Rhinolophus ferrumequinum: one gene and its partners. The protein of the gene in region 4 purifies or fractionates together with the protein of the main gene of each other region. This does not show direct contact. Links are inferred from orthologs where the notes say so. Each region holds a gene or a part of one and is shown on either strand. Other genes may lie near its edges. The genes, in order: NEK2, ANAPC7, ANAPC13 and CDC26.

The links.
Region 1: the proteins of CDC26 (region 4) and NEK2 purify together in Homo sapiens (affinity purification with mass spectrometry; 3 studies listed by BioGRID and IntAct, with this or other methods). This does not show direct contact. The link is inferred for Rhinolophus ferrumequinum from reciprocal best matches to the Homo sapiens genes CDC26 and NEK2.
Region 2: the proteins of CDC26 (region 4) and ANAPC7 purify together in Homo sapiens (affinity purification with mass spectrometry; 5 studies listed by BioGRID and IntAct, with this or other methods). This does not show direct contact. The link is inferred for Rhinolophus ferrumequinum from reciprocal best matches to the Homo sapiens genes CDC26 and ANAPC7.
Region 3: the proteins of CDC26 (region 4) and ANAPC13 purify together in Homo sapiens (affinity purification with mass spectrometry; 4 studies listed by BioGRID and IntAct, counting the BioPlex papers as one, with this or other methods). This does not show direct contact. The link is inferred for Rhinolophus ferrumequinum from reciprocal best matches to the Homo sapiens genes CDC26 and ANAPC13.

What each region holds. Positions count from the first base shown.
Region 1 is NC_046305.1:20,398,138-20,405,008, forward strand, and holds the start of NEK2 (serine/threonine-protein kinase Nek2), read left to right. Parts: upstream 1-3,867; 5' UTR 3,868-4,058; coding exon 4,059-4,154; intron 4,155-4,998; coding exon 4,999-5,216; intron 5,217-5,762; coding exon 5,763-6,003; intron 6,004-6,871. UniProt on the Homo sapiens protein: Protein kinase which is involved in the control of centrosome separation and bipolar spindle formation in mitotic cells and chromatin condensation in meiotic cells.
Region 2 is NC_046308.1:6,116,804-6,124,103, forward strand, and holds the start of ANAPC7 (anaphase-promoting complex subunit 7), read right to left. Parts: upstream 3,012-7,300; 5' UTR 3,011-3,011; coding exon 2,793-3,010; intron 1-2,792. UniProt on the Homo sapiens protein: Component of the anaphase promoting complex/cyclosome (APC/C), a cell cycle-regulated E3 ubiquitin ligase that controls progression through mitosis and the G1 phase of the cell cycle.
Region 3 is NC_046300.1:34,593,083-34,600,005, reverse strand, and holds the start of ANAPC13 (anaphase-promoting complex subunit 13), read left to right. Parts: upstream 1-3,923; 5' UTR 3,924-3,938; coding exon of another isoform or gene 3,939-3,973; 5' UTR 3,974-4,061; exon of another isoform or gene 4,062-4,102; intron 4,103-4,131; exon of another isoform or gene 4,132-4,253; intron 4,254-4,266; exon of another isoform or gene 4,267-4,675; intron 4,676-4,707; exon of another isoform or gene 4,708-5,737; intron 5,738-5,902; exon of another isoform or gene 5,903-6,002; intron 6,003-6,544; 5' UTR 6,545-6,571; coding exon 6,572-6,670; intron 6,671-6,923. Other genes in the region: CEP63 (centrosomal protein of 63 kDa), read right to left, coding at 3,824-3,870. UniProt on the Homo sapiens protein: Component of the anaphase promoting complex/cyclosome (APC/C), a cell cycle-regulated E3 ubiquitin ligase that controls progression through mitosis and the G1 phase of the cell cycle.
Region 4 is NC_046295.1:65,171,788-65,178,880, forward strand, and holds the start of CDC26 (anaphase-promoting complex subunit CDC26), read right to left. Parts: upstream 3,003-7,093; 5' UTR 2,822-3,002; intron 1,172-2,821; exon of another isoform or gene 1,144-1,171; 5' UTR 1,115-1,143; coding exon 1,062-1,114; intron 608-1,061; coding exon 457-607; intron 1-456. Other genes in the region: PRPF4 (U4/U6 small nuclear ribonucleoprotein Prp4), read left to right, coding at 3,156-3,182, 3,924-4,104, 5,827-6,013. UniProt on the Homo sapiens protein: Component of the anaphase promoting complex/cyclosome (APC/C), a cell cycle-regulated E3 ubiquitin ligase that controls progression through mitosis and the G1 phase of the cell cycle.

The DNA of each region.
Region 1 (6,871 bases), on a different chromosome or scaffold from region 4:
CTCATTTCTACCCGTACCTTATTTGCTCCATCTGCAACATCTGGCACTGTGGCCACTGCCATGTGCTTAAAACCATCTCCTCTATAGACTCTGGGTTATCAATAATTTCCATATTGCCTCCTACCTCATCGGTCACTTTCCATGCTGTTTGCTGACCTTTCTTCCCCCTCCTGCCCAGTATAACCTCCAGGACCCCCTCCCAACTCCTTTCTCACTCTGCCCCTCTTGGGGCATATTTATTCCCACACTCTTATTTTCTAGGGCCCAGAGAGGTCGAGTGGATTCCCTAGGTCACCTAGCTCATCAGAACAGAGCTAGACGAACCTGGGTTCCTACTCCTCACACCCACCGCTCCTACAACTTCACTGTGCTGCTCCTAAAGGGGAAATTGGGACTGTTCTCTGAAAGCTCCTTTAGTCCCTTAGAAACATACTACAGACTTACCGCCCATAATTACTGTTAACAGTCTTCTTAACCCATTTATAATATCAATAGTCTTAGAGATAACAAATGTCCTGAATTCATAAATATTATGCAAAATGTCCTGAATTCACAAATATTATGAAAAACCATGCAAAATGTGTGAACGGTTCTCTTTGTCTGAAAGCGTATCCTTGCATTGAGCAGAAGTCAGCCTTCCCCTAACTTGTACCCTTGGGTGCTAGTTTGGCACTATCCCTCTTTAAAATATGATGAAGCTCAAAATTAAACACTATTTGGTTTCACAGATAAATTTCTTCTCATCATATTCTCCCATCAGCTGCCTGCCACTAAATCCAAAGCTGTCTCTTAGTTTGCAGATGTCTTGTCCTTCTATTGATATGAAATGCTGTGTCGCTATTATGGCCAGTCTCCATAACATCTCATACTCTCCTCTAGAACATGGTTATTTATTGAGCATGTACTCTGTCATGCACCTTTTTAAAACATCTTTTAGCATCTGATTGCTATAAACAAAGAATCTCTCCTTTTTTTCCTTTCTAGAAATCTTTATCAAGCTCTTTAAAGAATTTCCATAATCCCTGACTTCAAATTGCTCCAAGACACAAAAAATGTCTTCTCTGGGATTTGAAATGCTCAATATGAAAATCTCAAAGTTTCTTATGAGGCCAGGCCTCTGTGGGTGAACTGGTGAGGCAGTCCCAACCTCTTGTTTGTTATGAAGTTATTTACAGCCCTCTAGTGGGACTTTAATATAACATAAGAAGGGACGCTGAGGGCAGTGAATAAGGCATGGCTTCATTTATTCATTCGTGCATTCATTTGTTCATTCATTCAAGGTACAAATGCTAATTGAGTGCCTACTACATTCCAGGCATGTTTTAGGTGCTAGATATGCTGCAGCGAACAAAACAAACAACAAAATCATATACATTAGTTACTTAAGAGGAACTTATATTTGTTGAAGGTTGAGTTTTTTATTTAATCAGTCAGATATACAAGAGAAGTTGGTAATGTAGATTAGTGTATGGCACATTCTAAATGAGTAAGGAACAGATAATTGCTCTCGTAGGAGCTCACGGTGGGTTGAAGGCAGTCAGAAAAAATTTCAGGGAAGAAGCTGGGCATGAGCTGTCTTTAAAGAATGGGCGGAATATGAAGGATGGAGGGAGTAAATGACCCAGGAAGGGGTGTTTCCTGTAAAAGTGTTCCCTATTGACTCCTCGTGTTCCTCGGCCACCAGTGTCTCTTTCCACTCCACGGTGCCCAGTGGTTTCTGCTGTGCTGTCCTGCCCCTCACTCCCACCCAATGATATGTGCTATCTCTGGCCAGTCATTAGTGTTTGTCATGCCATGCCTATGTCACTCTTTTCTTTATCATGGTCATCATGGCCCCACTGTCTCTTTTTTAATGAACACCCAGCATATCAATTATATGCTGGGTGTTTATTAAACTGGGCGATAGTAAGTGCTCAGTAAATATTTGTTGAATGAACATATGAGCCTAGGAGCCACTCTCCATATTCCTGGGATGACCCTTTCCCCAATATTTAGTCTCTGCCATAGCACTGAGGACGTTTGAAACATGAGTACTAGAGGGCTTCATCCAAATCCTTGAATGATTAATAAGCTGCTTTCTCACATTTTCATTTAACAAAGATTTATTGCATGACACCTTTATTACAGGGCTTATGCTAGCTATGAGGAGCTTGGAGTTGAGCTACTGTGAGACCCATGGAAATATATAATGAAAAATAACAAGTTGAGGGTTGATTTTTGTACTATCTATAGTGAACACTATAGATGGAGGAATTGCTTGTTCTAGTGTGCTAGAAGAGGCTTCCCAGAGCACAAGAGAGAAAGTTGGCATTGAATCTTGAAAGACAAGTTACGTCCTCTAGGCATACACGATCATGATACAGGATGGGGGAGTGGATAAGGGAGTCAGGTGGACTAAGTATTCCAGACAAATGGAATATCAGGTGCAAAGGTAGTGGTGGTGGTGGTGTGGGCTGAGAAAGTGTGTCAAGTTTGGAGAATCGGGGCAAAGCATAAGAGCAAAAGAGTGGCCAGAGAGAAGGTGAAGGATTTGGGGCAGGCCAGCCAAAGAGTTCCATGGATGTCAATTTTTAAGAGGTACTAAAATAAAAAATATAATGCCAATTAACACAGCCACCGTAGCTCCTTACATAACTTTTGAAACCTAAATTGGTCCCATTCCCTTGGGATAAGACAGTGCCCTTGAATGTCACGTTAAAAATTCTCCTGGCTGGAATTCCAATTATGTTATATTCAGTGCATTATGTTATATTCAGTTCTTATTTTTAACATAAAGAGGTTTGCAATTCTTATTAATAGAAAATCAAGTTCCTTTCAATCCCATGCTGAACAGATATTTAAAGAAAATTGACCTATTTATGCATGACCAAATTATTAACTTTCCGGTAATGCACATGAAATGGATGGAGGCCTCTCTATCTGTTCTCCCAGGTAAAAATAGGACTGTTCCACCTGGCTGGGTCAGATGAAAATGTTGGTTTCTGTGGGTGCCCAGAAAAGGCTACATTCAATGAAGTATTGTCAATTAATTATGTATTCAGCACCCCAGGTAATCTATTTGGTAGTCTGTTTTTTTGTTTTTGTTTTTTAGGAGTCTTAAGGGTAAACCTGTCTGCCTTAGAGCCATCATATTCTGCTGGAGATTCCCAACATCGAGGACTTCCATATTCTTTCCCGAGGGTTTGTACACATCCACTGCATGTTGAACAAGCCTCTAAATTCGGTGTTCAAACTATAGTCTGTGTATGATGACCGCGCCCTTCACAAAGTCATGCGTAACTTTTAAATCGTTACTATACCAGTATGCAAGGTTTTTGCATTGATTCTTCTCTTCCTGGCTGTTGGACCTAAAGCAAATAATTTAACCTTTCTGTGCTCCTCATTATACTAATTCCTGCTTTACAAGTTTGTGTTGAGGAATAAACGAGACTATACATGTAAATAAATGGGTTGGCACAGTCCCACGTCATAGTTAGCACTTCAGCAAGGGACTGTAGGTTTAATCACCGTACTCAGCTCTCACTAAGTCTTCAGCGTGACCCCGATCAGGCTCAGGGTACAGGAACCTGAAAGAAGAAGGCGCGTGCAGAGTACAGGAACTGGAGGGGTCAGAGTGCAAAAGTCAGAAAGCATTTGGTTGAGGCAGTATGCAAAGAAGTCTGAGAAGTCTCTGGATTTCGGTTATTTTGGCGACTTCAGCCAGAGCGACAGCGTTGCAGAAACTGCCTTGCTGCCGCTTTCTCTTTCCCGCCCTCCCTTTGACCGACCTCCGCCCCTTTCCTCCTAGGAGTAGAAAGCGGACGCCGACACAGACGCCGAGGCGGTTGCCTAGGGATACGCCTTCCCAAGATGCTTAGGGTGTTGTGTTCTTCTTAGCCAATCAGAGAGGCGAAGCCTCCTCACTGTGGGCCAATAGACTGCGAGTCCAGGGCCCGCGACGGTTAAACGGGGCTTGGGACTGAGGCCGTCGGCAGTGTATCTTGGGGGTGCTTTCGAGTCGGTGGCCGTAGCTCCGCGGCTGCGGCGCGATCTGTTGGAGTCCTGCGGTGGGCCCGGCCATGCCGACCCGGGTGGAAGACTACGAGGTGCTGCACACCATTGGCACAGGCTCCTACGGTCGCTGCCAGAAGATCCGGAGGAAGAGTGACAGCAAGGTGAGCGCGGGCCCTTCCCTGTCTCCGCCCCTGCTGGGGTTTCGCCAGCCTGTGGTGAGCGCCCTCTGTCCCCGAAGCGAGAGGCCTGGGATTGTGGGTCTCCAAGGCTGGGTGCCCGGAAGAGTAAGCCATCTCCCCCAAACCTGTGTCTGTCCTGGGTTGCTCAAGGGATGGGAGACCGCGTCTTTCCTTCTTTTCCCCTTTCTCTTCCATTTCCTTCCTTTTTCCTGCTAAAGGCTTTTTTTTCATTGGTGACAGGTAGCGGTCTCCTGAGCTATTTTTTAGAGAAGAGTAGAACTCTGGGACAGGAGAAAGGGGTACCAGAACCTGGAGCTTTCTGTCTTGACAATCAGAGCTCTTTTAAAACATCCGTTATTAGCGTATTGGGTCCATATTTCCCATGTGTGTACATTGACCTTACATAGGAAAAAAACGATGGAGAGGAAACTGCCTGGCTGCTGACCGAGGGATCTTTACTCAGCTTTCTCACCCTGGAAAAGCTTGGCTGGTTGGAACTGGCCGGGATTTGGACTGCCTCTGACTCACCTTTGACCAGAGTACCTTTTTCTGAACTCCCTCAAAGCAAGTGAGGGTAGGAAGTTGGGGGAGGCCTAATGCGCCTCACCTCCGCCCTCTCCCATTGCATTATTTACTGCTTAAAAGTTAGAGAAAGATTATGGAAATAAAATCGGGTGTCCTTAAGTTTATCAAACTAAAGTAGATGTTAATAACCATGATCTATTTACCAGAGAAATAATGTTTGCAAATTTTAAATTTTGGAACTTTCATTCTTTGTTTTTGAGTATAAGGAGTTCACTCTTCCCTTGGGAAATTCTTATTTCAGATATTGGTTTGGAAAGAACTTGACTATGGCTCCATGACAGAAGCTGAGAAACAAATGCTTGTTTCTGAAGTGAATTTGCTTCGTGAACTGAAACATCCAAACATTGTCCGTTACTATGATCGTATTATTGACCGAACCAACACAACACTGTACATCGTAATGGAATATTGTGAAGGAGGGGACCTGGCTAGTGTAATTACAAAGGGAACCAAGGAAAGGTAAGTTAATCTTTGAAAGTAAGCTGAAAATGGGCCTGGTTTCATTTCTGTTAAGCATCCTGTTTTAGGATTAGGGAGGAAGTACTTAGTAACGTGGAAAAGTGTCCTTATATTTATCCTGTTTCCCCCAAAATAAGACCTCGTTAGACAATCAGCTCTAATGCGTCTTTTGGAGCAAAAATTAATATAAGACCCGGTATTATATTATATTAGACCTGGTCTTACATAAGACCCGGTATTTATTATATTATGTTATATTATATTATACCTGGTCTTATAGTAAAATAAGATTGGGTCTTATATTAATTTTTGCTCCAAAAGATGCATTAGAGCTGATTGTCTGGCTAGGTCTTATTTTTGGGAAAACATGGTAGTGGGTCCGCAGTACTTTAGGAAATCTCTGGTGCATCAACACCCGTATTTCATACCAGAGTGTGATATTTATTTCCCTATTTGTACACTTCGAAAACTAGATAATTCTCGTGATCCCATCTTTGTAATGGCTTTATTCAGAAGTTAAACACTGTATATCTTCTTTGGTTTCAGACAATACTTGGAGGAAGAGTTTGTTCTTCGAGTGATGACTCAGTTGACTCTGGCCCTAAAGGAATGTCATAGACGAAGCGATGGTGGTCATACAGTGCTACATCGGGATCTGAAACCAGCCAACGTTTTCCTGGATGGCAAGCAAAATGTTAAGCTTGGAGACTTTGGGCTAGCTAGAATATTAAACCATGATACGAGTTTTGCAAAGACATTTGTGGGCACACCTTACTACATGTCTCCTGTAAGTATTTCAGAATTTAGATACTTTTTACACCTCTTAATGATAAGCATTAAAATGCAGGAAAAGTGAGGTGGTTTTTTTTATTATTATTATTCGTGTGTTTAGTAATATCCAATAGCCAAGAATTAATAATACTGTTTCATTTTAAATTTACATTTTTCCAAATTGACCACCTGACCATTAAACGCCTCTGTATCGGCAATTCAAGTCATGATTTATTGAATGACTACCATGTGCTAAGTTCTGGGATTACAAAGATGAAGTAGATTTTGTCTCTGTCCTGAAGAGTCGTGTTTCTCAAAATGCCATAGGTCCTGTACCCCGGCTTGGAGCTTGGACTCATTTGGAGCATTTGTTCAAAATGCAGGGTCCTTGACCTCAATCCCCAAGCCCGTGAATTTGGACTCTGTATTTTAACAGACTTTCTAGATGATTCTTGTTCATGGAGATTGGACTCATTTGGAGCATTTGTTCAAAATGCAGGGTCCTTGACCTCAATCCCCAAGCCCGTGAATTTGGACTCTGTATTTTAACAGACTTTCTAGATGATTCTTGTTCATGGAGATTCAGGGATCAAGAGGCTCACTAACTTCAGATAACATGTTTTTACAGTGTTAACTTTTTGTATTTGTTCTTTTTTTTGTTGCCTTTTCCTGCAAGGGAGTTGAAGAGTCCACCTGCTTTTGTATTTCCTCTATTGCTGGATATTTTGTTTCCAAAATTCATCACCGTATGAATTATTCTTCCTTTTTTTTTTTGTTTTTGTTATTTCCTTTGTGTGTAGCTCTCAAAATGAAATCGTTGGGTCAAAGGGTATTAACCGTTTGTGGCTCTCTAGGTAGTGCCTGTTGGCTTTGGACTCTGCATT
Region 2 (7,300 bases), on a different chromosome or scaffold from region 4:
AAAATGATTAGCCTTATTTGACAAAAGTTTTTTAAATTTTATATACAAAAGTAAACTTTACCGGCACTAGGAGAATTTTTATCTCTTTGAGTCTCAGGGGCTTCAGGATAGTATAATGGAACCAGTGTTTCAAAAGTTTGTCTTTAACCTTAAATGTTGCTCACAAGTGTTAATAACTGCCTAGAAGCTGGCTACCATTTTTAATAGGAAACTCACATTTCTAATCTCCAATCCCAACCCTCCACCTACTTCTTCCCAAGTTGAGTTTACATGTTTTTCTTTGATAGGTAAAAGCTACAGCTGCTTAATATGAAAGAACAGACAGTTAATTTCTCAACAAATGAAGGATACTCAAGAATGGTAGCGTAGATTAGAGGTTGCCAGGAACAGGGGAAGTGGGATCAGGAAGTGACTACAAATATATAAGGTGTTACTTTCTTCGAGTAATGAAAACATTTTGTAATAGACAATGGTGATAGGTGCACAACTCTTGTGAATACATTTAAAACCACAGAAATGTATTCTTTAAAAGGGTGAATTCCACAGTATGTGAATTTTATCTTAATAAAAAAAAAATCTTAAAAAAAGATAGGAACTCTAAACACTGCATAAAGTTACAAAGGAAATTCAAGGACTGAAAAGTTGAAAGGTATAGTCCAGATAGTTAAGATCTCTTCCAATTCTGAGATTCTTTGTATTTAATGAAAAATAAGATTTGATAGAAAAAGTTACTATACTCAGAGAAAGCACTCAGATATTTATATTGTAACACACGTCTATGTGTACAGCAAAAATTATCTCTGGAATGATGTAAGAAACTGTTAATAGCTCTTTGCTGGAGAAGGGAATTTCTGGAGAAGGGAAATGTCACAGTGAGGTTCAAGATTCAGGGACAGGTACGTATCTGCATACCCCTTCTGCTCTGTTTGAATTTTTTTACTGTGTTGTATTGCCAATTCAGTAAGAAAATTTTAAATATAAAGGTCAGAATTTAAATGCCTCCTGAAGCTAGGAAACTGCCAGTTAACCTAATATGAACAAATCAGAAGATCAAACTATCCTGTGACATCTAACTATCCTGTAACATCTAACTATCCTGTAACATCTTCAAGAACCAAGAATAACTGGTGCATACATTCCCAATGGTGGAAACTGTGTGCCTTGACAAATCACTCAGAACCAAGCGAAAGTCTCCAGAATAAACACAGAAGGCTGACAGAGACCAGGGCTCCTCCCTGTCAACACTAAGTGGATGGTGGCAAAATGATGAGTCGCACGTAGTGAGGTCCAAAAGCACACTAATGGAAATAAAATCGGGAGCAGCAGCGGCATCACAGGCACTTAAGGGGCCTTTCTTTTCTGACCTAGACAGCTTCAAGAGGATGCCAAATGCAAATGGGTAGAAGATTCGATTATAATGCTATTTAGAGGCAAGAGACTGTCGTAGGTCAGAATGGAGACCTTAGAGTCAAAGGGACCAAAATCCAGACATCGTGGCTCCTCCAATGACTAAATGTGTGGACTTGGACAGGGTATTTCCCCTCCCTGAGGTTGTATGCACTTCCTTAGCACATTCAATAAGCGTGAGGGCTTACTGCACACAGCCAGTGTGCTGACTTCATTCGGTGTTAAGAGTGGTGCAGAATATAGATCTTAAAAGCTCTCATCACAAGACAAAAACTTGTAACTATGTGTAGTGAGGGATGTTAACTAGACTTACTGTGGTGGTCATTTGGCAATATATACAAATATGGAACCATTCTGTTGTACACCTGAAACGAACGTAATGTTACATGTCAATGATATTTCGATTAAAAAAAAGTGATGCAGCATATAAAACAAGGCAAAGGGATAGACTAGTGAGGGTAAGGAGCCATTCTTACGGGCTATCGGAGTTGGAACCTGTAGGAGGAGGCAGGTCTGTGATAAGGACTCTAAGCAGAACAGCAAATGCAAAAGCCCTGAGTTGAGAATGAGCTTGGCACGTGTTCAAGTATCCGCAAGAAGAGCCACGGAGGCTGGAGAACAGTGAGCAGCGGACATGAGATTAAGTGGGGGAGAAAGATGTGTGGCTCCCTTGGCCATGGGAAAGAACCTGAAGCACAATGGAGAAATTGAAGCAGGGGAGCGACATGCACTCAAGGCTGGCAAGGGCCCTGTATTTCTTCCGTCATTAGACTCAATAAACGGCAGCTCTTAAAACATGAAAGGCGCACTGCAAGTCCTTCAAAAGGCGCCACTCCCACCCAATCAAGGGAATCTCCCGTTTTCTGGGGTTTGCTGAGGCGAGAAAAGGAACTACACTCAAGGCGGATAAAAATCAGTCTCGGATGTAGGACGAAGGTATAAAACCAGGGGACTGGCCTCTGAGCTTCGTCGAGGGAGAAAACGTTCCTCAGGAAGGAGCTGGGAAGGGAGAAGTCAGCCCAGTGATGTGACAGTCGCCGTGCTGGGTGACAGGTACCTCAGGAAACCCTACGCTCCCAACTTTCGGGAAACCCTCGCCAGGGAGGTCCTCAGAGCCTCCGCCTTCCATTTCTCCGAGCCGTCGCCGCACGACACATCTCCCGCAGCGAGTTCATCCCAGCGCCTGGCACAACGCGGGGACCCCATGAACTCAACTTGCGTTCCTAACTCAGCTCGGCTCGACGAGGCCTCGCTGACCCCGGAGCCTCAGCTGGGCTGGGGCCCGCGGCCGCTCCTTCCCGCCAGTCCCCAGGCCCCCTCAGCCCTCGCTCCCGAACAGGCGCTGCTTTCTCCTCAGCCCCAGGCCGCTCCCCGCCTCAACTCACGGGTTGTTATTACTCATTGTAAGTAACAAGCTGCTGAGGAGCCGCACGTTGGAGTGCAGCCCCGCGGCCGCCATGTCTCGTACGTGGTCTATCACATTCATCCTGCCGGGCAAAGCCGCAGGGAGCGGCAGTAGCGGCACGAAAAGCCGGTAAAATATCTTTAAGGAAGACTTCAAAATGGCGGCCTCGCCGGGGTCCATCGGGTCCATATGAGGCATCGCCCCCAGAAAAATAGGCAACTACTGAAGTGCCTGAGTAAATAAATAAAACTCAGTTCCCCAAGCCCTCGTGAGGTGAACTAATTTGTTGGGTTTTTTTTTTTTCTAGCAAAGCTATGTCGTTCTGAGTTGCAAATTTTATTGAGGACTTAAAAATACGATGGAGACAAAAGGCACCTCAGTATGAATACATGCTCAAAGGAAATGAGTATGAGAGGAATTTGTCTCTCCCAGGAATTAATAAAAATGTATGAACATTAATCATAAATAAAAGAACACAGTAGGTTGTATGTAGGGGGAAAGCCCCAATAGTTGTATTTGAATATTTTAATCAGGCGCCAGGGGCAGTCCTAACTGCTTTTACAGTCACGCTTGCGCACTAGGCTGAAGGCGCCACGCCCCCTCTTGTCAGGTATTGTACCTGCTGGAGTCAGGATTCGTTCAGCCTTTGGATAGCAGTCTTGGGTCTAAAAGGGAATATTTCTACCCTGTGAAATGATTTACTAGCTCAGAATGAATACTGGCTAGGTTGAGTTTTAGCCATCCTAACATGTGTTTTTTAATTTGTAATTCCCCAGTGACATGGTGTCGAGTATCTTCTCATGCTTATTTGCCTTCTGTATATCTTCTTTGGTGAGGAATCTGTTCAGATCTTTTTCTGATTTTTCAGTCAGGTTGTTTGTATTCTTATTGTTGAGTTTTATGGGTTCTTTGTATGTTTAATAATAGTCCTTTATCAGATATGTGTTTTGCAAATATTTTCTCCCAGCCTGTAGGTTGCCTTCTCATTCTCTGGGCCACCCCCTCATTTAGAAAAAAAAAAAAATGCTTTCAGTAATGATCATGAAATGAAATGACTAATAATGGCCAGAAAAGAAACAGACCGTGAAAATATTTATTAAACTTCATCTAAATAATAATGCTAGTACAATTTTTAATGCAAAGTAAAACCACTATTACAGTACAAAAAGGTAATGGATTAATACTTTTTAAATACATTAATGTATTGAGAAAGACTTATCCTACCTATTGGATTAGCAAGAAAATGAATAAAATACAGTTTCTGTTTTTGGTCCTTAAATTCTGCAAAATTGTCAGTGACTGTCAAAAGTCATTGTCTTTGTATATTCATGTTCAATTAGCACTATAAACAGATTTGTCAATTGTTGAAACACAGTCTTGGTGTTCCATGAAAAGACAGAAGACACTTAAATGCACGTTACTAAGTGAACGAAGCCAGTCTGAAAAGGCTACATACTGCATGATTCCAACTGTATGACATTCTGGAAAAGATGAAACTGGAGACAGTAAAAAGATCAGTGGTTGCCAGAGGTTAGAGGGGAGGGAGGAATCAGTGGAGCACAGGGGATTTTTATGAAAGTGAAACTATATACTATAATGGTGGATACATGTCATTATGTTTGTCAAAACTCATAGAATATACAACATGGAAACCTAACATAAACTATGGACTTTGGCTGGTAATGATATTTCAGTGTAAGTTCATCAGCTGTAACAAATGTACCACACTGGTGGTGGATGTTGACAGTGAGGGAGGCTGTGCATTTGTGACACAGCAGGGGCAATTGGGTATTTGGGAACTCTCTACTTTCCACTCAGTTTTGCTCTGAATCTAGAACTGCTAAAAAAAAAAGTGAAGAAAAAAGAGGGGTGTGTGTGTAAAAACTGACCTGTTCTGTGTGTCAAACATGCCAGATACACCACTGTATCTAACACACTTAGAACAATGTCTGGCACACAGTGAACACTATAAATGCTTGTTATACGTTTCTCTCCATTTGAAATATTTTATAGTTAAAATCACATTTAATAATAGCCAAAAATTGGAAACAATTCAAATGTTGACCAACTGATAACTATATAAACCAAATGTGGTATATCTGTACAGTGTAACCTATTCGGCACAAAAATAAAAAGAACTGCTGATAACATGGATGAATTTCAAAAATATTGTGCTGTGCTAAAAATAAAATCATGCTAGGTCAAAGAAACCAGACAGAAAAAGAATCATATAATCTCTGACTCCATTTATATTAAATATCCAGAAAAGACAGACCGACAGCAACAGAAAGATTTGTGGTTGCTTGGTGGTGAAGGTAGGAATTGGGAAGTGATTGCGGTTCCCAAAAGATCCCTCCTTTTGGGATTTGATGGAAATTTTCTAAAACTGGATTGTGATGATTGCTGCACAACTCTCTAAATTTACTAAGAAATAATTGAATAATACACTTAAAATGGGTGATTTTTATTTTATGTAAATTATACCTCAATGAAACAATTAAAAATAAACACACCTATAAACCACATGACAGTCACCAATTTACCCTCTCTACACGGCAGTGTAAAATATAGTTAGGTTCATATCTGGATTGACATCCTACTGCAAAGTCACATATCCTCCAGTCCTGGAATAAACCAACATTCATAGACTCGAGACATTTTTAGTTGAAATTGCCATACTTTCTAAAAAGTGATTGCTCTCTCCTCTAATCCCTCGATTCTCTGAATGGGAATTACAGTTTGGACAATTCATTTGATAACTAATGACCTCATGCCTTGTACATCTATCCACCGTATTTAAATCTGTGATTGTTAAATTTTCTCATCTCTGTGTAAACCCATCTCACAAGAGTAGGTGGGATGCTTCTTTGCATTCCTGAAGTGGGGAAGACTGGGGGAGAAGCATCTTGGAGTATAATGCTCCAAGATTTGGATACTTATCTGAATCTAAGGAAGATGCTGGGAAGACTAGCTGGGTATTTGAGTCTGGAATTCAGAGACGTCTAGAAGGAAGGTATGAATTTGGGAGTTTTCAGCATTCAGATGCCATTAAAAAAAACTTTATAAGAACAATTTCAAATATATTAAAAAATAGAGGTATTGGTATATTGAGTCCCCATAAACCATCACCCAACTTCAACAATTATCTATTCATGACCAATCCTGTTTCACAGAGCACCCCCCACCTTCCTCCTTACCCTTCAAATTATTTTGAAGCAAATTCCAACCATTATATAATTTTATTCATGAATATTTCAGTATTCTCTAAAAGAGAGACTCCTTGTTAAACAAAATGACAGTACCATGATCACATCTAACAACAATAATTCTTTATATCATCAAATATCTAGTCATGTCTAGTAATTGTTTGTGTATATTTTACTGTTGGTTTCTTTGAATCTGGATCCAAACAAGGTCCATTCTTGCAATTGGCTGATTATGTCTCTTAAAAATGTAGGTTCTTCCTCCCTTTCCTTTTTACCCTTGTAATTTAATTCTTGAAGAGTGAGATGGTGTTTAAACCCATGAGACTGGATAAGATCACCAAGAGGGTGAGTGTAGTTAAGAGAGTTTGAAGACTGGGGCAGTTGATAAACAGGTAAATGTGTAACAGCTGGTGAGGGGGAAGCCATGATTTGTAGTGTTTGCCAATTTTCATGGTGTAAATACTCTTACCATGGACAACTGCAAGCTGCCAACTGTAACAAAACAACTGTCAGACAAAATACCTTGGGATGTAATAATTGGCTCTCTAGGTGAGGACACAGTTAGCCCTAAGGCATCTCACTATTAAGAGGTCAGAGAGGAGAAACCAGCAAAAGAGGCTGAGAAGGAACAGCCAGTGAGGTGGGAAGAAAAGTAAGACAGTGGGGTTCTGGAAGACAAATGAAGAATATGGTTCCAAGAAGGTAGGAATAATCAATTACATATATATATATATATATATATATATATACACACACACACACATGTGTATATATGTGTGTATATATGTGTGTATATATACATATATACACACATATGTGTGTGTGTATCTATATATATATATGGCAACAGGTCAAACAAAATGAGAAATGGCCATTGGATTAGCACCATGACAGTCATTGGTGACCTTGACAAGAGCATTTTTGGTGGGGCAGTGAAGAGAGGATGGGGGAGACTAGTGTGCAACAGTACAGATAGATCATTCTTTTGAGGAGTTTTGCTGCAGAGCAGTGGTTCTCAATTGGGGGTGATTTTGCCCCCAGGAGACATTTGGCAATGTCTGGAGACTGGGGGTGGGGCTTGCTTTGCTACTGGCATCTAGGAGTAGAAACAAGGGATGTTGATAAACATCCTGTAATGCACAGGGCAGACCTGCACAATAAAGTGAAGTAGAAATTTAAAATTGTAAATTTAAATATCAAGTCCAAAACATCAAGATGTCAAGGTTGAAAAGCCCTGTTTTGCAGGGAAGGAGGAAATGGGTGGTATCAGGTGGACAGAAGT
Region 3 (6,923 bases), on a different chromosome or scaffold from region 4:
TTGGATACAAATATAAAATCAAAGGTTGAAAATGGCGACTGGACTTGTTGCTGAGCTGCACCTTCCACAACTAGATTAAAGGACGACTTGGAGCAGATGGGCCCTGGAGAAATACACTGTTCCCCAATAATCCCAAAAAAAATTTAAAAAAAAAATCCAAATGAAAAAAAGAAAAGCAGTAAATAAATAAAGTGAAAATAAAATGAAATAAATCAAGTATCAACTAGACGTTAAGCCATATTTAGGCCAGGAGCAGAAACCTCATATTAAAAGCCATCTTGTCATGATTCTGTCTTGCTTTATCTCCTAGGCGCCTGGGCAGGCCTGGGCTGTCCCGATGCAACCTGGGGCCAGGGTGTGAGCTGGAGGACTTCGTCATGCCCTGAAACCCTTTGTCAACAAAAACCCCCTGAAGCATTGAAGGGGGAACAGCCTCGCTCACCCCCTCCTATAAAACTCCATACCCCTCTTTGCTCGGGGAGGTTATGGTCTTTTCTAGACGGACCTCCCTCAGCTCAAACACGCCAAATCAATTCTAATAGGACCAATCTTGGTCTCCTGCACTCATTCCTCCGGCTGTGCCTAACACTAGACATCAAGTTGGCAGCCTAACCATAGAGCAAATTGTTTCATAGGCCTTTAAAATGCAATAATTTTACTGTATATATCCTAAAGGGGGTACATACTAAGGATAAAAAAGAACAAAGAAATCCTAAACACTATTCAGGAATCATATTGTTATTAATAAAACTGATATTGTTAATTTCAAAGTTATATATAACATAGGATAAGAAAAAAGTAATTATGTTAATGACATTAGGAATCAATGTTTTCAGCAAGAGAAAAAGATATAAATATAAAATCATATATGCAAAAAAAACCCTATAAAATCAAAATTAAATTGGAAATAGTGTAAATTCTGTACATTTCTCTCTTAGAAAATGTATTTCCTAACTCTGATCACTGTAAATCCTACAACTAATGCCCAACCTAGCAGTAAGAGCACAGTTCTCAGGCTGTGGTCTCTAAATACCATCTCCAACTCAAAGGAACCAGGGTTGTTGGCCAGAAATGTATAAATGAGGCAGGAACATGTTTAATCAGCAAATGAAGACATTATCAAAGACTACTTGTCATATCAAAGTGGACAGGAGTCAACTTAAAGGGGCTGCTGCCACTGGCCAAAGACAGGACAATTCGAGAATCAAAAAAAAAAAAAAAAAACTGCAATAGGTGGAAACAGTTTCAATATTTTCAAGCTTATAAGTTCATGATGATTTTTTTAAAAAGGCAAAAACCGTTTTGGTTTTTAAAAAAGGCAAAAACCTCACGGTTACCTTTGGAGGTTGTTAGGCCACCAACTCATTACCGCAGTCTGAAAATAGAGGGAAAGAATTAAGCATTTTTCTTGCCCTCCAGTATTTCAAATAGCTGATGACAGTCAAGTAGCTGGTGGGAGGAAGCTCTTCCTGAAAGATTTCCAGCTAATAAATACTAAAGGAATGACGAAATTAGAAAATCACCATATTGCAACCCCTAAAGGAACAATAGATATAGGCAATCTAAATCCATGAAAAGATTTCACCATTAAGTGCAATGCTCAAGGGGAAATTCATGATGGATGGATCAGTACACTGCTCAATCTTCATATCACAAAAAGAGGAACAATTCATACATTGTGTGCCTCTCTGATAATCAATGCAACAGGAAGTGTACTGCACCATCTGGGAAATATTCTTGCCCACCTCCACCAAAAAAAAAAAAATCAACATTGAATCTGATCAAGCTTCTAGATCAGTGCTGTTCAACAGAATTTTCTGCAGTTATGGAAATGTTTTATATCTACACCGAACGGTAGCTACGAGGTACCTGTGACTATTTGGCATTTGAAACACGGCCAATGCGACTAAAGAACTGAATTTTTTGTTTTCTTTCATTTTAATTCATTTCAATAGCCACAGCTGGCTGGTGGCTGCTATAATGGATAGTGCAATTCTAGATCTAACTACTGGTTTAAAGGAAATAGATACACATGGGGAAGAATACCATAGGGATAAAATCAGCTAAATGTAGAATGCTGAGGGGGGAAAGGCAGGCAAGGGAACTACTATATCTCAAAAGATTTAAAAGGTGCATTAACCAAATGCAATACATGAATCTGAACAGGATTTTTATCCAAGAAGCTAATTGTAAAAAGACATTAAGGGACAGCGGGGAAGTCTGAACCCAGGCTGAATACTGACATTATGGAATATTTATTAATTTTCATAGGTGGATGGCAGTACTGTGGTTTTGTAGAGGTGAAAAAAAACAAACTTACCTCGTAGAGAAAAAACAACCCTAACTAAACATAAAAATCAAAAATTCAGTTTCTGAAACCTATGTAAATGTTGGCTTCAACTTTCAAACCAAGCTGACATTTTTTTAAAAAATAGGAAGCTCTGATAGTGGACTGCTGATGCAGTCAACATGTGCCACCTCTACTACATAAATGAGAACAGGAAGGACCAAGCAAAGGTCTTCTACCTTTTAATGGGAGGTAAATGGTGTATCGATACAATTAACATACATAATTATTACAAATAATTTTTAAAAGCTAACTCTACATACATTTTAAAGGACAGTGTAACTCTCTGAATGTTTATAAATCTCTTAACACATTTAACTTTCAGTCGTACTATATTGATCATTGATAATGATATCGTGAAAGGACAAGCAGCTCAGGACAAAAGTCAATTTAAAGATGATACCGCATTCCAAGTAAGAAAATAATACACTTCATTTTATCATTAAGTTACAACTATGATGACTCTAAATGGAAACACCTGAAAGTAATGTGTTGTTGATCCTTGTATGATTTCCTCCTATCTATAAAATAAAAAGCAAGCATGTGGAGAACTGTGTAACTACAGGATACCTACCCCACAATACTGCTTTATTAAAAGAATAATTTTTTTAAGACTTAAGGTTTAAGGAATCAAATGTAAGGCTCAAGAAAGACTACTCTGTGCAAATAAACGTACTGTAACTATAAATGAAGACTAGTCACTGACAGCACACTCATCTTCACTCTCCGACGTTGTAAGGGGACATAAGAAAAACCATATTATGAGCCTATCTATACTGTCTTCAAATATCTTCATGGTTAGTGTTCGTAAGGAACTGTCACTTTTTAAACCATGGCTCTACCACTTGTTTCCGATCCCTGATTTCTATGGAGCAATCTGTAAGGCAGAGGTGCCCCAACTTCAATCCTTCACGATTTCTGCCACATTTCCATTTCTCCTGTGTCAACGTTGTTTTTAAGCCAACTCACTGTTTAAACTGCTAAACTTCCCACCATAAATGAACGGGCATCACCCGCCGTGGATGGCTTAAGTCACAACAAAGCTACGGTAGCAAGTTAACCAGAAACGACAGGCTGAGCGGGAGGGCTGAGCCGGAGGTCCCTCCCCCGAAGAGAAAACTGGCCACCCGCCGCCCTCCCGCTGGCCCGGCCGCAGGGAAGGGCTGACCACCTGGCTGGCCCGACGGCACGCCCGGGAAGGCCATATCCGCCTTCGCGGGCCCGCAGGGTGTGGGCGACGAGGCCGAAGGGCGGGGCGCCGGAGCTGGCCTGGGCCGGCGGGGGCGGGCCTGGCGGCTGGCGGGCTGCTGCGGAAGCCAGCCCCGAGCCTTTGGGCCGCGCGGCGGACAGCACCACAGCCGCCGCGGCCAAGCCTGCCCCAGGAATAGTACAGGCCCGCCCCTCGCCCGTCCTCCGTGCGCACATGAGGTTAGGGCGCTCCCGCGCGCGCGCGCCCCCGAGCTTTCCCGCCGTTACCTCCGGCGGGGGCGCGCGCGCGTCACCGTCAACCTGACGTCCAGCATCTGTCGTCGACACGTTCGTTCCGCCCCCTGCTCCCTCCCTTTTAATGGCAACAAACGTCCTGCCTCACCTCCCCTCCGCCCAAGCAAATGGGCTCACCCACATCCGGGGATCGGAGCAAAAAGAAGTGCGGGTCACGTGGTGCCGAGGGTGGGCTCCGGTGGCCGCGGGTGCTGCGCTGGGTCGGGTGCTGGTAAGGGTTTCCCGCGCCCCTAGCCTAGGTTCTGCAGGGCGAGAACGCGTTCGTTCCTCAGCGTCGCACTGCCTGCGACCGAGGCCGATGTCTTCATTTCAGCCCCATCACTGCCCTTACCGCTCACTGGATCGAGTGGAAAGAAACTTGGGTGGCGGGCCTGGACCTAGACCTCCCCCGCTTCCACACTTGGTATATCCAGCCTCGAGCCGGAAGTCGGGGCTGTGAGGCGGGCTCACACTCCTGTACGGATGGTGGTGGCCTGCGAGGGTCATTTTTAGCCAAAGGGGGGGGGAAGCCGTCTGCGTTGATCATGTAGTTGTGTATTTACAAAATTCTGAAGCACAGAGGAATAAAACGTGCCCCTGCCCCAAGGAACGCACGCGCCGCCTGTCTGGAAAGCAAGAAACAGCCAGTGTGACAAGCTCCCAGTCGGGATCATTCGCTATTCCCAGGGAACTAGGGGACCTGAATAGCCTCCTATAGGAGGAGGTGACCCGGGAACCAAGTTTTTCAGACCGACAGGGATTATCTGGGACATAAAGGGGAAAGAGCATTCCAGGCATTGGGGCCATCACACGTGTAAGAAAAGTTTGTTCACGAAACTGATAGTGGTGAATGCTGTCGAGTGTAGCAAATGCTTGTGACAGTGGCCGTGTCCTGGACTTTGCCTCTCTTGATGCTTTCCACTCTTCCAGCCCCTTACGAGTGAAGACACCACTCGGGAAATGGGGAGTTGACCCTGATGATGTGACGCCCACGTTGAGTTTGGAAGGAAAAGTACACGGGGGAAAGAGGCTTTTTTTTAAGTGCAAAGGGTGGCAAGTATGATAGGGCTAGAGATGTTTGGAAGAGGAACAGGTGAAAACAGATTGAGGCCAAATTGGGGGAAAATGGATTAAGGAGTCATTGATGGAAAATGGACACCTAACAATTGGAGACATAGCTGAGCAGTCTGTCACAAGGCTGACCCAACTAGTGGGTCATAAGGACAAGAAGGAAGCATTCGAGGGCAGAATGCCTGCTGAAGCTGGAGTGATTTGAGAAAACTACAGAAAAGGTGGAACTTGTGTGGGCCTGGGGAAATCAGCAGGTTTTGATCAGAGGAAAGGAAGGAGGGCATCCCAGAGGTCAGAGCATCCAGGACAAAGGAGTGGCGGCAGAGAAAAAGGAGGGCTTGTGTATGACAGGGTCTCCAAAAATATAACTGGAACTGAAAGGACCCCTGGTGTGTACATTTCCTGAAGACAGGATTCTTCAGCTTGTTGTGAGTTATCCACTTAGTAGTACTGGATTAATTCTCGTAATACTAAGAATTAGTAGTGAAACGTTAAGACGTCATCTGGTTCACTGGTGGCATAGAAGCTGGGCATGTTTCAGTTTTGCCTGGATTCTTATCATGGGGGGAAAAGCCTATCATTATTACCCAAGTAGTAGAGCTATCTTGAAGTCATTTTGTTGGGGAAAAGCACAGGCCTATACGAAAGAGTTGGGTTTCACCCCCAAAGACTATTTTCTGGTATAAGTCTTCACAGTCTCAGAAGTGGGCGTGACTCAAGTGCCTTTGGTGCCACTGAATTCCAGACCATTAGGATGGCTGCTTTGTAGCAGGGAGCACAGGAGAGTGATATCTGTGATGAAGAAGCAGAGTCCACACTTGGAAACAGAGTCTAGAGGTATTTTCCAAGCTGGCTATTGGTGTTCAAGAAAAAAAGTGGGGAGTCGGCCGAGAGCTAAGTAAGCATCTTGACCACTTGGGCCAGGCATGAAAGGGGGCACAGCGTTAAGAATCAGAGGAAGGAATCCCAAAGGGAAGAAGAAACCAGCAGCATGGGGTCTTCCCACTGTGGTTCACCTGGAGGTGCTCCTTTCAGGGCTCAGCCTGGGCACCATCTCAAGAAAGGCCATTTCCTTCACAAGTTCAGCTGAGGATTTCTGCAGGTCTGTGGCTGTTCACTTTGTATAACCCAGTTCAGTGGGGATCTCACTATGATCCTGTGCTTCATTTAGCTCCCGTGCCAAAGAATGCCAAGGTTAGAGCTAAGGCGGGTGGAGACTTTTGTGAAAATGGTGCAGGAAAGGGTAGAGGGGCCAGAAAGGAGACTTGATTATGAATGAGTCAAGGATTCATCAAAGGCATCCTGAACAGGACAAGGTGAATGTGCAAGTTAGGAGAGAAAAGCTGCATTCTAGACGTGTTGTGGCCTCGTAAAGGAGGCCCTCAAATATATTCTCTTTTTGTCATACTATGACTGGTTTGTCCACTGGGCTATGTCTGATGTCTGTCCATCGTCAGCTGGGGTAGGAGGGGAGGAACTGTGATCTTATAAATAAGTCGTCATCTGACCCAGATGAGAAGATGGATCTTCCCCAGGGTGATATTATGCCAAAAGACACATCCAAGCTAAAAAGCCTGGGGAATCCTAGGGCTGATTACATCATCTCCTCAGTCTTGTTTAAGAAATTACCTTTTTGGCTTACAGATTTGACAAGATTAAAGCTTCAGGAGAATGGACAGTGAGGTACAGAGAGACGGAAGGATCCTGGATTTGATTGACGATGCTTGGCGAGAAGATAAGCTGCCTTACGAGGATGTTGCGATACCACTGGTAGGCTATAATTTGTGCTGAGGATAATGGGTAAAAGATACGATCTGGTGGGGCCTAGTAGAGATAGGATGTCAACGGACAGATAAACTAGTAGGGCAAAGAAATCAAAGCTGTAAAGTCCACTAATTCTAGAAGCATCTAGACTTTTTATTTGAAGATAAATATAGTTCAAAGAGCTGTTGTGACCAGCTCCGATAGGAGTCATGCCAAGTCTGGAACCCAGGCCTTCTGAGCCATTTTCTGTTGACTACAC
Region 4 (7,093 bases):
GAGATCCTGAATTATCTGAGTGGACCCTAAATGCCCTCAGATGTGTCCTGATAAGAGGGCAGAGAGAGATTTCACAGACACAAGAGAAGAAGGCAGTGTGATCATGGAGGCAGAGGTTTGAGATCCGGGGGCCAACAGAAGCTGGAAGAGTCAAGGAACAGATTCTCCTCTAGAGCCTCTGGAGGGGGCGTGGTCCTGCTGACACCTTGATTTTGGTCCAGTGATACTGATTTCAGATTTCTGGCCTACAGAACTGAAAGAATAAGTTTCTGTTGTCTTAAACCACCAAGTTTGTGGTAATTTGTTACAGCAGCCACAGGAAACTAATACATTAAATTGGAAATGCCTGTAAAGAATCTAAATAGAGATTTCAAGTAATCTGTTGGTATAAGAATCTGGAGTTCAAAAGAGTTATTGTTTTAAATATTCCTAAGTATTTGAAAGTTGTACTCCTACCTCTAGGTCCTTTCGAATGTTTTCAAACTCCTCAATATCATCAAGCTTCAGCTCCAGGCGGGTTGGTTTTCGTCGCAGCATGCTGAAATCAACACTAAGAGCCAGACCCAGTGAACTATTAGCTGTTAAAAATGGCAGAGAGGAGGAAAACCTGAAGGGGATAAATCTCAGCTACAAATATCAGATCAATTTGTAAGCACGCATGCTAAAATGAATGGCAAATAAAAGACTCATTTAGATTCACACATAGACTTCTAAGTCTTTACGTGTCTGAATATTATATTTTTATTACATGATGGAGATCCAAAACTCTGTAATTCCAAAAAACTGTTTCTTCAAGAATTTTAAGTATTTAAATAGCAAGCTGCCTATAAAAGAATTCTAGGCAACAATCACTTTAATCTCATGCTCCAGTCACATTCAAAGACATATTCTAGCTAAGAGAATAACACTAAAATATCACATCTTAATGTAGTACTATTAGTGGGAGAGCATACAAACCATTAAATTTGATCAACTCTACACGAGAATTGTAAGAGATTTGTGATCACTCCTGAATGCTAAAATCAGTTTACTAAATCTAGGGAAAACTCCCTCTAACTCACCAATTCACAGGGTTATCTTCAGGGTCAAAATAGGTCCTACATGTATGGGGCATTCATTAAACAAACACTTCTTGTGCTCCAGCTGCAGAGTTAAAACGCACAGTCACAGTCTGTGGGGAAAACAAACACGTAAACAGAAACCTGCATACAGTGTACTAAGAACTCTGGTGCAGGAAATGCAATGGCATCACACAGGCCCAATTCATTCTGGGCTGAGTGTGGGGGCAGACATGGAGGATTTCCTGGAGGAGATGATGTCTTGGTCGGCTTGGGAAGGGCAGGTAGGGAAAGGGGATTAAGGGCATACCAGGCAGAGAGAACAAAGATAAAAAGGGGCTCAAGAGTCCACACCAGTCTGAAAACGCAAGGTCATGCTTACGCTAACAAAAAACGTTTTTTGGAGGAAAAAAATATAACTCCCGCACTGAGTTTAAAATCTGTTGATGACATCTTTATATTCTCCACCAAATCCAGTAGAGTGTATCTATAATAACTAGGCAGTAAACGTTTTGTTGAATAAACCAGAGATCCAAATAAAGTGAAGTGAACTTTCCTTGAGCACTGTGGTATGCTTTTCCATTCCCATTCTTTACACTTTTATTTTAACACAGAAACCCTGTGAGGCTGGCAAAATTACCCGTTTTACAGGTGAAGCCAAAGCTGCTCGGTTTGGTTAATAAATGAAAATGATGTAAGTGAAAGCTCCTTTATTTATAGATATCAATTATTATTACATGTATCTAGGATGTAGCTAGGGGCTGAAATATAAAAAGAAAATGTTTCCCTCTCCCTCCCATGAAGCTTGGGATACCTACAGGTGGTATTATCAACCCAAAACACTAGCACATTACATTTCAAATCGCTTTATACTAAATCAGATACTATTTTGATTCCAATGTAGATAAATGATACTGGAAGCCAAAGTTCAGGGGAGGCGGAGATGTTTAAAAGAAAAACACTACTTTGCACTGTCTTATCTTTTCAGCAAACTGAAAAGCTTGTCACAAGGTAGCGATATAGGGTAAAGGTACTTGCTCTGGAGGCAAAGGGCAGAGGTTCTAATAATAATCTGTTTATTTTAAACAATTAGCTTCATCTTTCACAAGATCTTAGTTTCCGTATCTGTTATTGAAGTAAGTTCCTGGAATGTAATTTGGCATTCAGTAAATGCTCAATAAATAACAGCCATTATTATTATTTTAACTGTTCTTGTGGAGAGGCAGGAAACACCTCTGTCCAGCTCTGGGAATCACCAGTATTTTGAGCATCTCCACCCCCCGACATGAGGGCAAAAACCTCGTCTCGTTCGTTTCTGATGCTCCAGCACCCAGCGGACCACAGGGCCGTGGCAAAGTTGTTTGCGTGCATAACGGCTCACATCCATCATCTTACTCTAAATCTGATACGAAGACCAGGCTGAAGACAACAAAATCAGGCCGTGGCTCCTCCGCCCGGTCCTTATTTAACTTTGGCGCTAGAGGGCTCTTCGAGCTTAATCTCTAGCTGCTGCCCAAATTCACCCAGCTCAGAGGGGGCCCCCGGGAGAGAACCTCCCTACAGCGGAGAAGGAAAACAGCTCTCCCGCCGCAGCTCCAAGGTAGCGCTCACAGGTCTACCGCAAAGGTTTCCATAGCAACATAGTCCCAGCTCCAGGACGACGTAAAGCCTCTCGTAGGGCCGGGAGGGAGGGACAGCAGGCCCCGGAAGCCCTCCATTCGCTCCCGAGTTCAGCCCGGAGCCGCGCGACTCGATGCACCTACCTCTTTACAAGCCTGTTCAGCCCCTTCGCGGAACCTCAGTGCCCACCACGAATCTATGCCAACTGGACTACACTTCCCAGACTGCTCTGAGCCTCTCTCCCCGCAAGACCTCGACCTTCGCGTGCGTTTCTCGGAGGCTATACGAGTCACACCTCTCGACACGGCCACAGTCTTTCCTACTACGATTCCCAACATGCTCCACGCCTCCCCGGACGTTGAGTCCACTCGGCCCACTTCCGGTGGGTGACACAGTTCCGCTTTGCTGGGCGCGCGTTGGATTGTCTGAAACGTCGATTGCAGCTTTCGCTGGGACTTCGCGGCTCCGGAGCCCAGCATGTCTTCCTCACGAGCTACCTCCACGGTACAGATCTGAGCTCACCCTAGCGGGGAGCGCGGCGCGGGTGGGGGTCCCTGCGGAATGGGATGGATAAGGCGATGAGGGGCCGAGGAGGAAGGCTGCGAGACTCGGTCTTAGAGAGCCGAGCAGCGTTTTCCTGATGGAGCGCTTTCATGTGCTTAAGCTCAATTGCACGTCTCGTACTGACGCGAATGGTACACACCTCTTCCTACTGGTCCAGAAACGGAGCTCAAGGAAGTAGTGTCCTGGCCAAGATTTATGTCTGTGTCAGACCTCTTAACTGAAGTGAGGCCTCCAAACTACCTACCGGTGTCTAGTGCATCTCGTCTGAAAACGTTTGAAATGTAGAGGCCAGTAACTTGGTAACCTGCTCCCCTTCACACCGCGTTGGTTTTTTCAGTTATCCTTGATAGTTCCCTTGTGATGAGCAGTAACCCTGGAAGTTTCATAAAACCCAACAAGAAATTGCACTTCCAACCGATTGAATTGAATTAAATTCCAAAGCAAACCTTTGACAGAAAAATCACCAAGAGAAATTCAGGAATTTTATCAACCTCTTTCTGTCTGAGACACCGAACACCCCTACACCAATCCCCATCAGTGAAGACACATCTTAACTGGTGCCCTCCTTGTCCTTTCCTTTGGGGAGGAAATAGAATTAAAGTCAAGATGAGCTTCATCCTTTGGGGAAACCTAGCAAATTGCCAAGATTGAGCCTTAGGTTAATCCAGGTTTATGATTTAGCAGGCAGCCAAAACTAAGGCACCTGATGACCTAGTCGCGCCTCTGGTGAAAAAACCGCACATCTATTATGGAAGTTTGGAAGAGAAGGAGAGGGAACGTCTGGCCAAAGGAGAGTCTGGGATTTTGGGAAAAGAAGGACTTAAAGCAGGAATTGAAGCAGGAAATATCAACATAACCTCTGGTAAGATGCAAATTGTGAATCCATCTTTATCTTTGGTGCTCAGATTTTCTGCAATGAATATCTTCCTGGACAAATATCACTATTAATAACGTGTCAAAATTTTCAGTTTTTAAACTTACATCTGTATATGGCCATACTTTGCCTACTCTGCTTAGCATCGTCCAGAGAGCCTTTTGCTTAACACCTTTTAAAGAGTTTTTCCTTCCATGAATTGTTAGTGATTTTGCCAAGAGTTTATTCAGTGTGTATAGCTGACCCTTGAACAACACAGGTTTGAACTGTGCCAGGTCCACTTATATGCAGTGTTTTTTTTTTTCAATAAATACTGTAAATGTATTTTCTCTTGTGATTTTCTTAATAACATTTTCCTTCTCTAGACTATTACGAGAATACAGTACAAGTACATATAACATACAAAATATGTGTTAATCGACTGTTTATGTTATCGGTAAGGCTTCCAGTCAACAGTAGGCTATTAGTAGTTAAGATTTGTGGGAAGTCAAAAGTTCTATGCGGATTTTCAACTGCACGAGGGGTTCCCCCCACTATCCAACCCCACCTGGCTACGTTCAGTAGTCAACTATATTTGGACTCAAATTGATTCCATTTATCTTCTGGAGATCTAGCACAGCTCTGGCACTGGTTTGGAACTACTGTGGTTCATAATATTCTGTTTTTAGTTTCCCAATTATTTTTCTCCCAAAATGAAACATATTTTTTAAATTAAAAAAATATTAGTTATTTTTATTTTGAAAACTAATCAGTGTAGAAATGTGTGAAGTAGTAAAACCTTTCATCCTTATTACTTGGGTCTGTATCTTTCCAAGAATTTAATAAAGCTATAAAAATACATAATTGTTTTCCATAAAGGAAGCCATGATAGACAGATTGTTTTGTAACCTACATTTTTCATTCTGTACTATTAATGATATCTTTCCAAGTCAGTAACTATCATCCACTATATTTTTAAAATAAAATTATACATGTTTGTAATAAGAAATTCGAACAGTACAGAAGGGTATAAAATGAAAAGACTTCTCCGCAGAAAGGGCTTCTGTCAAATTTCTCATTGATCCTTCGACACTTTTTTTTTTCTATACACAAGCACTTTAATGGCTTTTTTTAACCTTTTATGCTTTTTTAAGCATAACTGCATCACCACTATACTTACCATTTTTCATACAAATGCTTGTATTTCGTGTGAGTTTTTTAACTGGCTGCTAGAGAATCCAAAAAGTCTTCTAGTCAATCAAGGAATATCATTTACATGGTAATTATTTGCAGCTTACTAGATTCATTTCTAAGTGTCCCCATAAGGGAACTGTTTTAGAGAATAGCTTTGTCAATTGTTAAAATTATGTTTCTGTTTCATCTTTTGCATAGAAAGCCTAGTTAACTCATTTGCTAATGATGCCCCATACTCCTTATTTTCTTATCTCATCTAAGCTGTGTGTTTGTTTATATAGGTATATATAGGTTTAAGATTGCCAGATGAAACAAGATGGCTTGAACCATTTTGCTGCCTTTTAAAGCTGTGTCATTTAGTTTTTTGTGTGTGGCGTAAGTTAATAAACTGAGAAACTAAGTGTATAATAGATTAGACAGTTAACTTTCACTAAGGGCATACGCAGACTCCAATTGTAAGAAATTATTTCTTTTTTTTAATTTTTTTATTTGAAGAAGATCTGGTGATTATGCTGATGTTGCCTGTTCTCTTTATAGGAGAAGTGTTTGAAATTGAAGAGCACATCAGTGAGCGACAGGCGGAAGTGTTAGCTGAGTTTGAGAGAAGGAAGCGAGCCCGGCAAATCAATGTTTCCACGGACGACTCAGAGGTCAAGGCTTGCCTTAGAGCCTTGGGAGAGCCCATCACACTTTTTGGAGAGGGTCCTGCTGAAAGAAGAGAAAGGTACCCTTTCTAAACATCTACTCTCTTCTTTTTTTTGATCACAGGGTTCTAGTTCCAAATTTATGTTGTTATTTGTAGCAAAAACTTTTAATAGAATGTCTCAGCTATTGTTAACAGAATATCTTTTAAGTTGTGTTTATATCAATCTGAGTCTTAGGCCAATTTTTACTCCACTACTAATTTTCCTTTATAAACTGCAAAGAGGGTGTTAACATGTTTCCTCTCCCCTTCCCAAAGTGTAATTTTGTAGTTGAACTTTGAAGATTTAGACAACAAATGCATTCCTTGTCAATGACATAAAACATAATGACAAGTGGTTTTTGGATATTACTGAAAAGGGGCATTGTCCTCAGATAATGCTCCGCTTGTGCTTTTAACGTTGCAAAGCTCTTGGTGACAGGCTAGTCATATGCAGTGATGAGGCCCTCTTCCTGTCTTTCTAGCCACTGTCCTACTCTCCCCATTATCATTTTTGTTTTCTTGGTTTGCATAGTCTGCGTGTTTAATCGCTTCAAAACCTTTAGCATTCTCTCATGTCCATTAAATAGAACCAACAATGCTTGGCCTGTTTAAATTACAGGGAATAAAAGTACCACTTCTCTTGTACTCCATACTTCAGCCACACTGAACTATTTGTGATTCCAAGCTCAACACACTTTTCTTACCTCCAGACCTTTACATCGTATTTTGAACCCTCTGCCTTAACAGTCCTCTCCCATTCTTGGCCTGTTGCCCCGACCAGATGATTACTCAGGTTAGGTAACACCTCTATGAAGCCTTCCCTGAACCTCCCTCCAAACCTAGGCTAGGTACTCCTTTTATGTTCCCCCTTAGTACCCTATACTTAACCACTGTCATAATACTTAGTATAATGTATTATGGTTCTCTGTTACTTTCTGTCCCCATTCCCCACCCCCCAACCCTGCTCTCTAGAACTCTGCTACTTGAAATCAAAAACTGTTTTCTTAGTCATTGTTGTATGTTAAGCACCTGAGTCAGTATCCAGCACATGTGGCATTGAGTGAAGGTTGGCTGTCTCCACAGACCGAGGGATAGCAATGTTTTGGCTAGTTAGCGCTA